Linked DNA regions of Macaca fascicularis. The protein of the gene in region 2 interacts with the protein of the main gene of each other region in a pairwise test. Links are inferred from orthologs where the notes say so. Each region holds a gene or a part of one and is shown on either strand. Other genes may lie near its edges.

Region 1 (4,225 bases), on a different chromosome or scaffold from region 2:
GGTGAGCTTTAATCTCACCACTGCACTCCAGCCTAGGCGACAGAATGAGACCCTGTCTGACTACCAAAAAAAAAAAGACAAGCTGGCCACGGGCAGGTAGGGGAAGGCACTGCCGCCCGAGAGACCTGAAGCTGTAGAGCAACAGGGACTCCCGTGTGCCTGGAGCAGGCGGGGCACAGGAGGTGGGTCGTGTGGTTTGCAATGAGGCCCAAGGGGTGTCCCCGCCAGAGCAGGGCCTGCGGAAGGCTGGGGTTTGTCATCAGGGCTTTAGAACATCATTGGCGAGTTTGAAGCACTTTCAAAGTAGCACTCAGGCCAAGGCCAAGGCCAGACTGCCTGTACCTCCTGCCAAGTTGCTCCTCGGAGAGGACCCAGATTTGTGCCCCAAACCAATCGATTGGTCATGCCAGTTGGGAGTACTTTTCCCATCCATAGGGGCTGAGGCTAGGAGGGGAAGTTGGGGAAGCCAGGACTCCCAAACACAGAGGTCTGGATCCCCCCAAGGCCACGGGTCTGGTTCCTATCTGGACTCTCATGACCTCCATTCTGCCGGGGTCCTGTGTGTCCGCCTCACACTCAGTGAGAAGGAGCAAGACCTGACCCAGGTAGAAGTGCACTCAGCGCCTGTGGGTGCTGGAATGAGTTCAGGAAGACACCGGAACTCCTTCTCTTCCCTCCCCAACACCTGGCGACTGATGGTAAATCTCCCACCATAGAGGCCAGGCCTGTGACACTTGGAGATGTTTGCAAAGCCATGATTCATTGAGCACTTGCCATGCGCCGGGCTGTTGGGGAAAAAGCGCCTAGCACATGGCCATGGTGATCCGTACCGCACCCCATGAGCTGTGCGCCCCTGGAGCTCCATGCAGGAGACTTGAGTCAACCCAGAATCAAGATTCGATCCCAGCTGCCTCGGCCTCTGAAGCCCTGGGCCCTCAAGCACTGAGCTCAGGAGTGTCTCTTTAATTCTTCCCACCCCGGCTGCAACCGGTTCACAAGCTCCTTCCCCAAAAGCAGGTGTGCAGCCAAGAAGAGGAAGGAAGGGGCCGGCGGCTTCAAGTGTAGCCGCTGACTGCTCACAGCTGTTTCCCACCCCTCACCCACCCTTCTTGGCAGCCCAGAGGGACCGACTGACCGAGGACAGGTCCTCAGCAGGGCCCCCTTGCCTCTGGGCAGGACTGACTCAGAAAACTCATGCTTCAGACCTGCCCTGGGATCAGGTCTCCAGCTGGGACCTGTCTGCTGTTCTTCCTCCTGCCCCTTGTCTCCTTACTCTCCTCTTCCGAGAACCCTCACTTCCAGAAAACCACATGCACCCACATCTCCATCACAGGCTCTGCTTCTAGGGAACCTCAACTAGGATGAGGTCATGTCTGACTTCCCGGCTGAGTGCCTTCCCCAAAGTCCTCAGTGTCCTGCAGACAGAGCCTCCTTCCCTGTGCTCAGCCTTCTGAGCCTTCCTCATCTGATGCCTGTGAAGCTCCCTTTGCTGCTGAGGTCCTGGGTGCCAGCTCAGCACTTGGTAAGAGGGGGTGAGGCCGGGTGCTGTGGCTCATGCCTGTAATCCCAGCACTCTGGGAGGGTGAGGCGGGAGGATTACTTGAGGCCAGGAGTTCAAGGCCAGTCTGGGCAAGATAGTGAGATGCCATTCTCTAAAAAAACTAAAATAGGCTGGGAGCAGTGACCCACGCCTGTAATTCCAGCACTTTGGGAGGCAAAGGTGGGCAGATCACTTGAGGTCAGGAGTTCGAGACCAGCCTGGCCAGCATGGCGAAACCCCATCTCTACTAAAATACAAAAATTAGCTGGGCATGGTGGTGTGCGCCTGAAATCCCAGCTACTAGGGATGCTGAGGCAGGAGAATCACTTGAACCCGGGAGGTGGAGGTTGCAGTGAGCCGAGAACACGCCACAGTACTCCAGCCTGGATGACAGAGCAAGACTCAGTCTCAAAAAATAAAAAGTAAAAAAAAAAAATAATAGCTAGCCGTGGTGGCACATACCTGTAATCTCAGCTACTTGGAGGCTGAGGCATGAAGATCCCTTGACTCTAGGAGTTTGAGGCTGCAACGAGCTATGATCGTGCCACTGCACTCCAGCCTGGGCAACAGAGCAAGAGCTTGGCTAAAAGAAAAAAAAAATTATAAAAATACAAAGGGTCAAGACCAACTTTGTCTTTTCCCTTTGATTGGATACTTTCAGTAAAAGCAAGATCTCCGGATGTCTCCTTGTGCGCTGAGAGCATCTACTGTGTGTTGATCTGGGTTGGGCGTTCTGCAAAGTGTTTACTTGGAACTCTAGAAAGAGTTCTCAGGACTCTTAGCTAGAAGTGAAAGGAGAGAAGACACGTGAACATGGAAAATCTGGGGCGGCCCCAGGTATAGCGAGTTATCTGGGGCCCCACCAACCTCAGGGCTGGTTGGGGCTGGGATGAGTCATGGCTGTTGGGCAGGATTACCTGCTTGAGAAACGAACCAGGTCTTATTTGGGTATTGATTCATTACAACAGAATGGGAAGTATTTTTCCCTTCCTGTGAATCTTTCAAGGAGCAACTGTGTCTTTGTGTTCTGCAGGACTGTGCTTGTTTTGGGCCAATGGAGAATCACAGGCTTTTTTTTTTTTTTTTTTGACAGAGTCTCAGTTTGTCGCCCAGGCTGGAGTACACTGATGCAATCTCACTGCAACCTCCGCCTCCTGGGTTCAAATGATTTCCTGCCTCAGTCTCCCGAGTAGCTGGGACTACAGGCGTGTGCTACCACGCCCAGCTAATTTTTGAATTTTTATTTATTTTTTGAGATGGAGTTTTGCTCTGTTACCCAGGCTGGAGCACAGTGGCACGTTCTCGGCTCACTGCAACCTCTGCCTCCCGGGTTCAAGTCATTCTCCTGCGTCAGCCTCCAGAGTAGCTGGGGCTACAGGCGTGCACCACCATACCTGGCTAATTTTTGTATTTTTAGTAGAGATGGCATTTTGCCATGTTGGCCAGGCTGGTCTCGAACTGCTGACCTCAGGTGATCTGCCCACCTCTGCCTCCCGAAATGCTGGGATTATAGGCATGAGCCACCGCACCCAGGCCTTGTGTTTTTTTAAGTCTAGTACATTAGTCAGGATGAATAGCAGAATGCTGCAAAAACCAGAATCCCACTGGAATTGGCTTATGCCATTGCAGAATGTATTGTGTCACTGGGAAGTGGGGAGGGCAAGAGCTTCAGGCCTGGCTGGATCCAGAAGCTCGGACCATGCTGTCAGGGACCTGTCTCCATCTCCAAGCCCTGCTGTTCTCCGTCTTGGATTCATTCTCCAGTGGGCTTGCTCTACCTGCTGGTAAAGATGGTGCCGGACAGCTCCAGGCTTTCATCTCACCAGCCTTGTAAACAATTCGTCTTATTCAAGGAGCTTCAGCAAGGGTCTTGGGGTTGATTGTCATTGGCTCAGCTTGGATCACATGCCCATCACTGGAGCAATCAATGAGGCTCAGGAGATGCTGGGTAGCTACTGGCCAGCCTTGGTCATGTGCATGACACAGCCCCTGGGGCTAGGAAGGAGCGACGCGTGTGCAGCAAAGGTAAGAGAGGCCGTCTACACCCGGGTTCCTAGGGGGGTGGGATCAGGTTGGAAGAAGCTTGTTTAGCCAGGCTTGGTGGTGTGTGCCTGTAGCCTCAGCCACTTGGGAAGCTGAGGTGGGAGGATCACCTGAGCCCGGGAGGTAGAGGCTACAGTGAGCCAAGATTGTGCCACTGTGTTCCAGCTTGGGTGACAGAGCAAACCCTGACTCAAAAACAAAAAAGAAGCTTGGTAGGGGGTGTCTGGGAAGGTAGGTATCTGAGAGGCAAGGGCTTCCCCCCTGTAGCAAGGGGCGCTCGCTCAGATCCCATCCGGCTTAAAGAAGCGAAGTTTCCATGGAAGAGTAAAGATACTGAAATGTAAGACGCATGAAAAAATCAAAGTGGAGAGGCCCTTTGTAGTTGACCTAGAACCATGTTATACGTGATGCATTAGGTCAGTGTTCAGGGTAACACTTTTCTGCATTAAAATAGGAAATAGAAACATTTTGGATTTTAAAAATAATTTGTCAGCTGTGCGTGGTGGCTCCCGCCTGTAATCCCAACACTGGGAGGCTGAGGCGGGCGGATCTCTTGAGGTCAGGAGTGTGAGACCAGCCTGGTCAACATGGTAAAATCCATCCCTAATAAAAATGCCAAATAAAAAAAAAATCGCCCGATGT
Region 2 (4,376 bases):
GGGCCTCAGCTCAGCTCCTCCAAAGCCACCCTTTGTTTTATGCAAGGGCCCTTTTCTCATGATGCATTGAGAAGCCCATTCCAAATACAAAATGATATTCTAGGATTCTCCACTACATTTAGTCTCCAGCAAGGTGTAATTCACACAAGTGCAACCAGATATTGTGTGCGTCTAAGAACAGGGTTGAAAGCAATGAAGCACAAACAGCTAATGGGCTGAATGTTAGTTTTCTCCTTAAGTTTTGGTGCCATGCTGACAAGTCTCAAGTCATTCACTTCGTAAAGAGAACTCTTTTCTTGAGTTGATGACGTCCCATCATCAAAATCCAAGCAACCACAGCACAGAGGTCAGTGACCCAATAACTTGGTGGCCAGGAGGGCACAAAGATAATCAGGTATTCTAGCCTGCATGCTTCAGTTTCACAAAACATTCACTTCCAACTTCTAACAGACACACCACCTCTTACTAGAACTTTCCTGACATTAGTTCTCTCCCTGTAATTGGTACTAGCTGGATGACCTTCAAAGTCACACCTGAATTCTCTGGGTTTTTCAGAAAATAAGAGATCTTCTAACTAAGAGATCTTCAAGGACCTTTCAACTTAAAAATTTTGACTATGAAATTTTCAAAGAAACCTTTCCAGCATCAGACTTCTGATGTAATAGTTCTTACTTTTTATTTATTGAGAAGAATAATGGCAGCTAAACCTGCTTTTTTTCTTTTAATAAGGTTTATGAAACCACAGCCTAACCCATGCACCAGGTGGGTACAGGAATATCTCAACTTGCTGGGTAAGTTTCATGCTGAGAACAAAGTGCTGGGAATGTCTATGTTCAAACTTGATCTTCACTCACAACAAAGGCTGCCAGCAGATACCACTGTCCCTATGTCCACAGGAAGAAGGCCTCAAAATAATAGTTGCAAACCACACTAAAGATCAGGTACATCCACGCAGACGCCTAAGAAAGGTGGTTTGAAATGAGTGTCAGTTTCACCCAAAAATGGGCTGAACACACACACAAAAAGGTATATGCAACTGTGCCCACCCCAGCTAATTACAGCCTCTTGTATTAATTTTCAAGAATAAATACACAAGTAATCTCTCGTAAATGTAAACTGCTGCCTGTACAGTGTCTCACTGTTGGGCACCGGAGTTTTATCAATATTGTTAAAACAAAAAGTGCATTAAAATGAAGGGAAATAATACAGGTCTTTCTTCTAAAATAATGGGTTACAAAGTATTTTTAATTTGGTGAGTTTTAAAATCTTCAAAATAATTTACCAGCTCTTTGCTGCTTTTATCTTGCCCAGACGGCAGTAACAATTACGCTTTAAGTATAACATTTTTTTTAAAAAAACTTTTTATTTTGAAAGCTCAAATTTATATAAAATTGAACGAATAGTATAACTATGATTTTTGAAAATTAACAGACTCATTCCAAATTTACGTTTTCAAATTTCATGCTCTTGGGGATTAGGAATATCGTTGCATATATGTAAATGAGACATACTTCTGCTGTATTCCCAAGAGTATCATTACTCAGTTATTTGTGTACTGGTAACAAATTCTAAGTATTTTAATACCATAACAAGGCAGGAAGCGAATGCCATTATAAATATACACGTATCATTCTCTTTCCAGTGTGAGGCAATGTGGTAAGGCAATGGCCAACTGTAAGTCTCAGATCTCTAGTTTAGAAACTGCTGGGGAGAAGTGCACCCTCTTTTATATTTTACAAGTCATACTAGGATACATTCGTATTGAAAGCACTTTCAAACAATAATACAATTTTAATTTAAAATACACACACACGCGCGCGCACATATATATGAATGTTTTGACACCAGCCTCCTGAGTCATTGGGTGCCTAAGATGGGACAGCAAACAAGATACCCCTCAACCAAGTTGGAGAACTTGAGCGGTAAAATTCCTCCCAAAAACCACCATCCAAGCTTGCGAGGGTCCCCCTCGAGTCCGCGGTCAGCGGGGTGCGCCGCGGGTCCCGGGACCGGAGGCCGAGCCGGCAGCAGTGGCCGCGGCGGGCCGGAGCCTCCGGAGCTGACCAGGCCGGCCGCCCCCTCCGAGCCCGGGAGCGTGAGGCCAGCGTCGGACACGCGGCCCTCCGCCCCGAGTCGAGCCGTGGACGGCACCGGACCCACTGCGGGGTCGCTTCCCGGACCACCGGATCGCGGGGCCTCCTCTCGCCCCGACTCCTGTAAAGGGCGGGTCCGGAGCGGGGACTCGTCCGGGAGCACCGGGAGTGTGTGGCGGGGCGCGGAGCCGGTGTCCGCCCGCAAGGGGCCTTCGCCGGCCACCGGGCCCCGCCGCCTGGCGTCCCCCCGGCCCAACCCACTCCCCGCCGCCTGCCGTCGAGGTGGCGCCGCCGACCAGGGCGGGCCGCGGGCCCAGCTCACCTTGGGGCCCTCAGAGGGCACGCGCGGGTCGTTCCACGTCGTGGTACGGCTGTTGTGGTCCACGAAAAAGGGCCAGCCGGTCTGCGGGTCGATCTTGATCTCCCAGCCGGGGGGCAGGGGGTCGCGGTCACCGTTGCCGGACGCCACCTGCATCATGGGCGAGTGGGTGGCGGCGCTCATGCTGGGTCGGGGTCTGCCCGCCGGGGCGCGGGTGTGGGGCGCGGGCTCCGGGCGCCGAGTCTCTGGCCGGGCCGCCGCCGTGGGCCCCTCTCTGCCGCCGACGTGTCCGGGAAGCCGGCGCCGGGCACCTTTATGAATTAAAGGCGGGGGTGACGTGGCCAGAGAGGGGTGGAAGTGTCTGGAAATAGCCTCCTCGGTGCCAGAGGGGAAGGAGGCGATAAAGGGAGGTAGCAACTGGCCGGCTAGAAACTTCTGGTCCAGTCCAGAGAAGTTGGCCGCGGCCCGGGGTTGGACGCGGAGCTCCGCCCTGAGTCATCGGCTATAATCGCGGCGGGCGGGGCTGAGGGGCCGGGGCGGGGCCTCTCCCCGCTCGCCCCTCCCCCACCTTCTCCCGCCCCTCCCCCCGCCGTCTCGTGCGCGTGCCCGGGCCGGAGTCGCCGGGGGCGGGCGCGGGCGCGTCTTCGGGGTCCGCCTGCGGGTGGGGCGCCGGAGGAGCGGTACTGGGGGCTTACTCCGTGGCCCCGGGAGGGTTTCGGCTTTCGCACTCGCTCTCTCCCTCTCCTTTGCGCCGACTGAGTGTTCCTGGGGCTGGAGCCCGTGCTCCCCGTGCCTGCCGCCCCTCTTTCCTGTACAAAGCCATCTCGCCCACCCCCACCCCACCCCCATCCCCCAACCCCCCCATATATGATAGCCGGGGACCATGAGGGCTGTCCGGGAGGAGCGCGGGGACGCTCATCTGACACCAGAAGGAAGCCAGGGAGAAAATGGAAGTTAGTGCAAACTCACCTGCCTTCCTTTGGAAACTTCAAGAAAAAAAGAGATTGTGTCAGCTGATGGCTTTTAGTCTCCTAGACTAAAAAGAAACTTTCGTTGCGGTGAACAGCTTTAAAGAAAAATCACATTTTCTTGGATTCGGATCTTTTTTATGGTAGAAGTTGGTTCTTGCAGTCTTACATCTTGACCCTCATTTGGGAAGTAAAGACCGAACCTAACCATGACATTTTTTGTTTGGTTTATTCAATTGCACTTGTAACCTGTCAAAGGAGAAAATTACAACACATTTAAAGATCTTTTCTGTTGTTGTTGTTGCTGATTCTCATTTTTTAACTTTTGTTGTTAAAGATCTTAATTTTATTTGTGATTCTAGAATTGGGCAACACCTCCATTAAATTAGAATAAGTGCTCCCATGAGCTGAGCAGAAGAGGTTGATTTTATAGACAGAGAAGGGCTGAAGAAAGCAGAAACAAAGAACCAAGACTGGATTGGTTGTTTCAAAATTACTTTCCTTGTAAGGAGGGGACAGCGAGACAGAATCATAGAAAAATAACTGATGAGGGCTTGCCACCATGGCTCATGCCTGTAACCCCAGCACTTCGGAAGGCCAAAACTGGAGGACTTCTTGAGTCCCGGAGTTTGAGACCAGCCGGAACAATACAGTAAGACCCCCATCTCCACAAAAACAAAAAATAAGCCAGGTGCAGTGGCTTATGCCTGTAGTCCCAGCTGCTCAGGAGGCTGATGTGGGAGGCTCATTTGAGCCCAGGAGTTTGAAGCTGCCATGAGCTGTGATTGTGCTTTTCATGCCAGCCTAAGCGACAGAGCAAGACCCTGTCTCTTTAAAAGAAAGAGAGAGAAAGAAAAAGAGAAATGACTGGTCATCACCAGGTTACATACATACAGATTACTATACAATTGACCCTTAACATGGGTTTGAACTGAGCAGGTCCACTTGTACATGGATGTTTTTCAATAAAAGTTACACCGAGTGTGCTTGCCTCTC
Region 3 (4,160 bases), on a different chromosome or scaffold from region 2:
GGGAGGGGGCAGAGGATACCCTTCGAAGCCCCCACCTAGATTTCGATATTGGAATCATTTTCTTTCTTCCCCGGGCCAGCCTCTGCTCTGTCCCCTCAGGTCAACTCAAGGTAGCCAGTGTGGCGACTGGAGAGGTCGGGGAACACGCTTTGTTTCAGAAGCGTTCACAGGAGTCCCCTGACACCTCCTACCCGGCAGATAGCTAACGGGGGTCCTGCCAACCCTTCCCATCCAAATTCCATCTGAAAAGGATTTTCCACTAAAGTTGGGTCCCGGGCCATCCGGCACCTGTAAGGCCGGCAGGAGCGTCTGCCCTCAACTCAGCTAAAGCCTGCAGTCGTTTCCTTTCGATGGTCCTTAGCAGGCCCAAAAGAGGGGCGATAGAACGTGATGTGACACGGGCCGGGCGCCCCCAGAAGCCCGGGAACAAACGTGAGTATGGACTGGGTGGGGGTGGCTCTGGAGGGACCTTTACCGGCGCACGCCGGTTTCCTAGCCTCGCCCCAGCAGCGGCGCGAGCCCCCTCTCCCCACCCGCCCGCGCCCAATCCAATCAGCGCCTGCCATCGCCTTAGCAACAGGCTAACAAACCTGGCTCCGCCTATCCCGGGCGCCCGGGGCGGGGTCTCAGTTACCAGGCTAGTTTGAGAGCTCCCAGTTTCAAGTCATTGAAACTATTCCAGACTGAGCTCGTCTACGCGTTGCAGGGTTTGGGGGGGCATTTTGTTGGGGGTGCAGGGCATTTAGTTTTCTTTACCATGAAATCATGGTGTAACTAATGAAATATTTGTCCTCACAACTCATTGTTCTACTTTTCTCCCATTGCAAGTCTCAACCTCTTGAAGAAAAATCTGTTTCTTTCACCCATTTCATAAAAGGCTGCAATATTCAGAAAGGTAGAAACACAAACTCATCTATCTGCTTTTCAACAAATACCAAGACTGTCATTAGGCATCTGCATCTCCTATCAGTGTTAACGCTTGGAGACATTAATTAGTTATTTCAGGATGCAAAGTACCTGTATCTACGAAAATCCTACTAAAGAACTGAGTTCACCTTAATAGTTTCAGAAATCATGCATTAATACTGCCCCTCAAAGCATCCTTCATTTCTCACTTGCCTTAGTTCAGTCATCAGCACCTCTCCAGGATGTACGTTTTTAATATAAAAAAGAAGGTAAAATATGGCTCTAATTTTTTTCTGAAAAATCGCCAACATCTGAACTAAATACTGCATTAAAAAGGAGAGGCACAAAAATTACATAACCAGTTTTAACATTATATTCTTCTTGGGCTAGGAATTAAGTCATCGCCACCACCTGACGCGTGTAACCAATCTGCTGAGAGCAGAACAAGCGCCCCTCCTCACCACCCCCCAGAACTGGTCCGAAACAGGATTGAACCGCTTCTAACAAAGGGTGGAAACTTAGAAAAACAAGCCTAGACTCTCCTATATTTCCACAATGTAACCACTTAAACAATAGATTGGAAATCTCAGGACTCCTTCTCCCTTTGACAACCCTTTATCTCCCTCTTCTAACCAAAAATCAAATCCAGTGTGCCCTATACTTTTCAATTCCATTTGACTGGCATGGGTTTCATTGAATGCACGTTCCAAAGTTAGACATGATGCTCGGAAAAGAAAATTACTGATCCTAAATGGCTTCTAAAACTGACTCGATACCTATCATAATGACAGACAGTACCCTTTAAAATAAGGAATGCTGGGTGTAAATTTTTAAAGGAATGGGAAAGAATAGAGAAAAAACACGTGGGGTGTTGATACCATATGTCAAAATAAGCCACATAAACCTTTTATGAAAGCACAGTGATCAATTCTTTAAAGTCTTTTGCATTCCAAAATTAAAAATGAAACACGCCCATTAAGCCTCTTAAAAATGTTATTACATTTCTTGATTGAAGTTTAGTTTTTACATCTTAGGTTGCAAGTAAAAGGGCAAAAATCTAAGACTGCAGCTTTTAGCAATTCATTTGAAAATATATTAGTAAAACGATTGCATTGGATTCAAGCAGAATTTATAAGGTGCAAATGGACTACAAGCGCGTATGGCACAGACCAAGCCGGGTATAGAGGTAGTTGAATAAGTGTAGTTTGCAGTCACTTTGCAGATGCCTGCATGCATTACGGCTTAACACACGATGAACGTCAAGGAGAATCCAAACCTTCCAACTTTGCTAACCTTTATCAAACTGCTTAGTTATACTATGAGTAGAATCACGTTAATTCAGAAAACTGAAAAGGTACGTTTCCAAAGAAAATGAGTCCAATGACTTCTGAATAACAGAAAAACTTACCTCTTTCGTGCCCAATTAAGATGTCTTTATGGTTGAAATATTCTACTTCTTCAGTGTAATTCTGTGTATAGGCAGTATTGGAGCCGGCGTTTCTAGATTCAGTCCAGCGTACTTTCGCATGCCCTCTTGCATGAATTTTAAGAGATTTTACTCTGATTTCCCCAGTAACTTCTAAATTTACCCTTCCTGAGACAGTATCCCCACTAGAATACACAGGGACATTGCTGTCATTAAGACAGTCAAAGCTTATTGTCAAACTCTTCACCTTTCCCAGCACCATGTTTATAACAAAATCTATAAAAATATAATGTAAGACAAAAAAGTCAAGATCGCATATAAAATGTGATCTTCACTTAACACTGATCGATATTTTTGCCGTGCAAAATGCTTGCAGGCCGGATCAGTGATTCTCTACAAATAGTTCATTGAGATTTCTTAAAAAGTCAGGGCAGCAGAAGCTGCTGCTCCGCGCTCCCGCTCGTCTCAGTGGTCTCCTTACAAAGACGGGCGGCTAAAGGCTGCCAGCTCACTTTAAGAGCAGCTTTGTGAAAAACAACCCCAATGCGCAAGCGCAGGCCGCGGCTGCTGTCCGCCCTCCCTGCGCGCCCCCTCCCGCGCCGCGCCGCGCCGCGCTCGCTCCCTCCCTTGCTCGCTCGCTCCCGGGTACAGTAGGTGTAGAGTTAGGGGAAGGAGATACTGGAGCTGCCGGCCGGCTGAACCTGACTTCTCTTCATTGTGGGCTCCTATTGGTAGGCAGGCTGCCGTATACCCTCGACGTGCTATCTGGAGCCCCTTACCGAGCACACTCTACTGGAAAGATAATGGCAGAGTGGGGCGCGAGGGGACAAGGCCTGGGTGGGGAGTTTGCAAAGCCAAGTAAGGATAAACTGCAGTGACCACCCCAAAGCGTGCGTTACTGGCACTGCAGCGTTTTACCAACTGCCTGGATGGGAGGAGGAAAAAGTGATGTGTGAAGAGAGATGGGGGAAGGGAGAAACCGGTTGGGCAAGCGGCCGATTGTTGAGCATAATCTAACGAATTTTCAAAGAAAACGTAATAAAACTGGACAAGAAGTATTGTTCATAGACAAGAGCATACTTGGCTTGGATATATATATATATTTTTTAAACCAGTACTTTGTAGGCAGGGTGGAAATGAACTCAGTCGAGGTCAAAGGAACCTTAGTCCTTTGAAGAGCGAGGTAGAGAAGCAAGTACAATGTAATCAATAGGCTTTTTTGTCTCCTCAACTTCTTTCTCCTACATCGCTTAATTAGATAGCACCGAAAAACAACCAAGTTGTTTCCAGGATGACACGGGTGGGGGCTGGGGGGAAGCTTGACCACTTCCTCGAAGGAAGAAAAAGTCCTTTTTAAGACACCACCTACGGCTAGATTTGCAGAGTAAGACATGATTACAACTCCTGTGTCCAGAGGAATAAGAATAGAGTTCGGCCTAAAAAAGTACCATCTTATAAAAGGCATAGGACATAGTGGTTTAGCTGACATATTGTTTGCAACAGAATCGGAAAATCTTTGTTAGAAATTAGTGAAGCGCATAAAATTGTTTTTAAAAAGCATGATTTGGTATATAAATAGGGGTTAACTGTGAAGCTTTAATTTTCGGCCGAAAGAGCCTTGGACCATTTAACGTAGTAATTCTCATGATACATCTTAAATATAGGTACATTTCTCTTTTTATTGTGAATGTTTGGTAAAAAATAGCAGTGCTTTCGTCACATCACACTGGGATTCAGAGCATAACAGCATAAACTCATCTAGATTACTGGCAATCAACAGAACTGCCTTACAAGAGAAATGTAGAAAGAAAAAATATGAATCTGGTGC

The links.
Region 1: the proteins of BAG3 (region 2) and LITAF interact in binary tests that used the Homo sapiens proteins (3 or more experiments, as listed by UniProt). The two-hybrid records come from large-scale screens. The link is inferred for Macaca fascicularis from reciprocal best matches to the Homo sapiens genes BAG3 and LITAF.
Region 3: the proteins of BAG3 (region 2) and ARRDC3 interact in binary tests that used the Homo sapiens proteins (3 or more experiments, as listed by UniProt). The two-hybrid records come from large-scale screens. The link is inferred for Macaca fascicularis from reciprocal best matches to the Homo sapiens genes BAG3 and ARRDC3.

The regions. Positions count from the first base shown.
Region 1 is NC_088394.1:12,312,300-12,316,524, reverse strand, and holds the start of LITAF (lipopolysaccharide-induced tumor necrosis factor-alpha factor), read left to right. Parts: upstream 1-1,409; 5' UTR 1,410-1,522; intron 1,523-3,304; 5' UTR 3,305-3,565; intron 3,566-4,225.
Region 2 is NC_088383.1:128,663,224-128,667,599, reverse strand, and holds the start of BAG3 (BAG family molecular chaperone regulator 3), read right to left. Parts: upstream 2,892-4,376; 5' UTR 2,596-2,891; coding exon 2,416-2,595; intron 1,897-2,415; exon of another isoform or gene 1-1,896. UniProt on the Homo sapiens protein: Co-chaperone and adapter protein that connects different classes of molecular chaperones including heat shock proteins 70 (HSP70s), e.g. HSPA1A/HSP70 or HSPA8/HSC70, and small heat shock proteins (sHSPs), e.g. HSPB8.
Region 3 is NC_088380.1:95,376,090-95,380,249, forward strand, and holds the start of ARRDC3 (arrestin domain-containing protein 3), read right to left. Parts: upstream 2,820-4,160; 5' UTR 2,595-2,819; coding exon 2,315-2,594; intron 1-2,314. UniProt on the Homo sapiens protein: Adapter protein that plays a role in regulating cell-surface expression of adrenergic receptors and probably also other G protein-coupled receptors.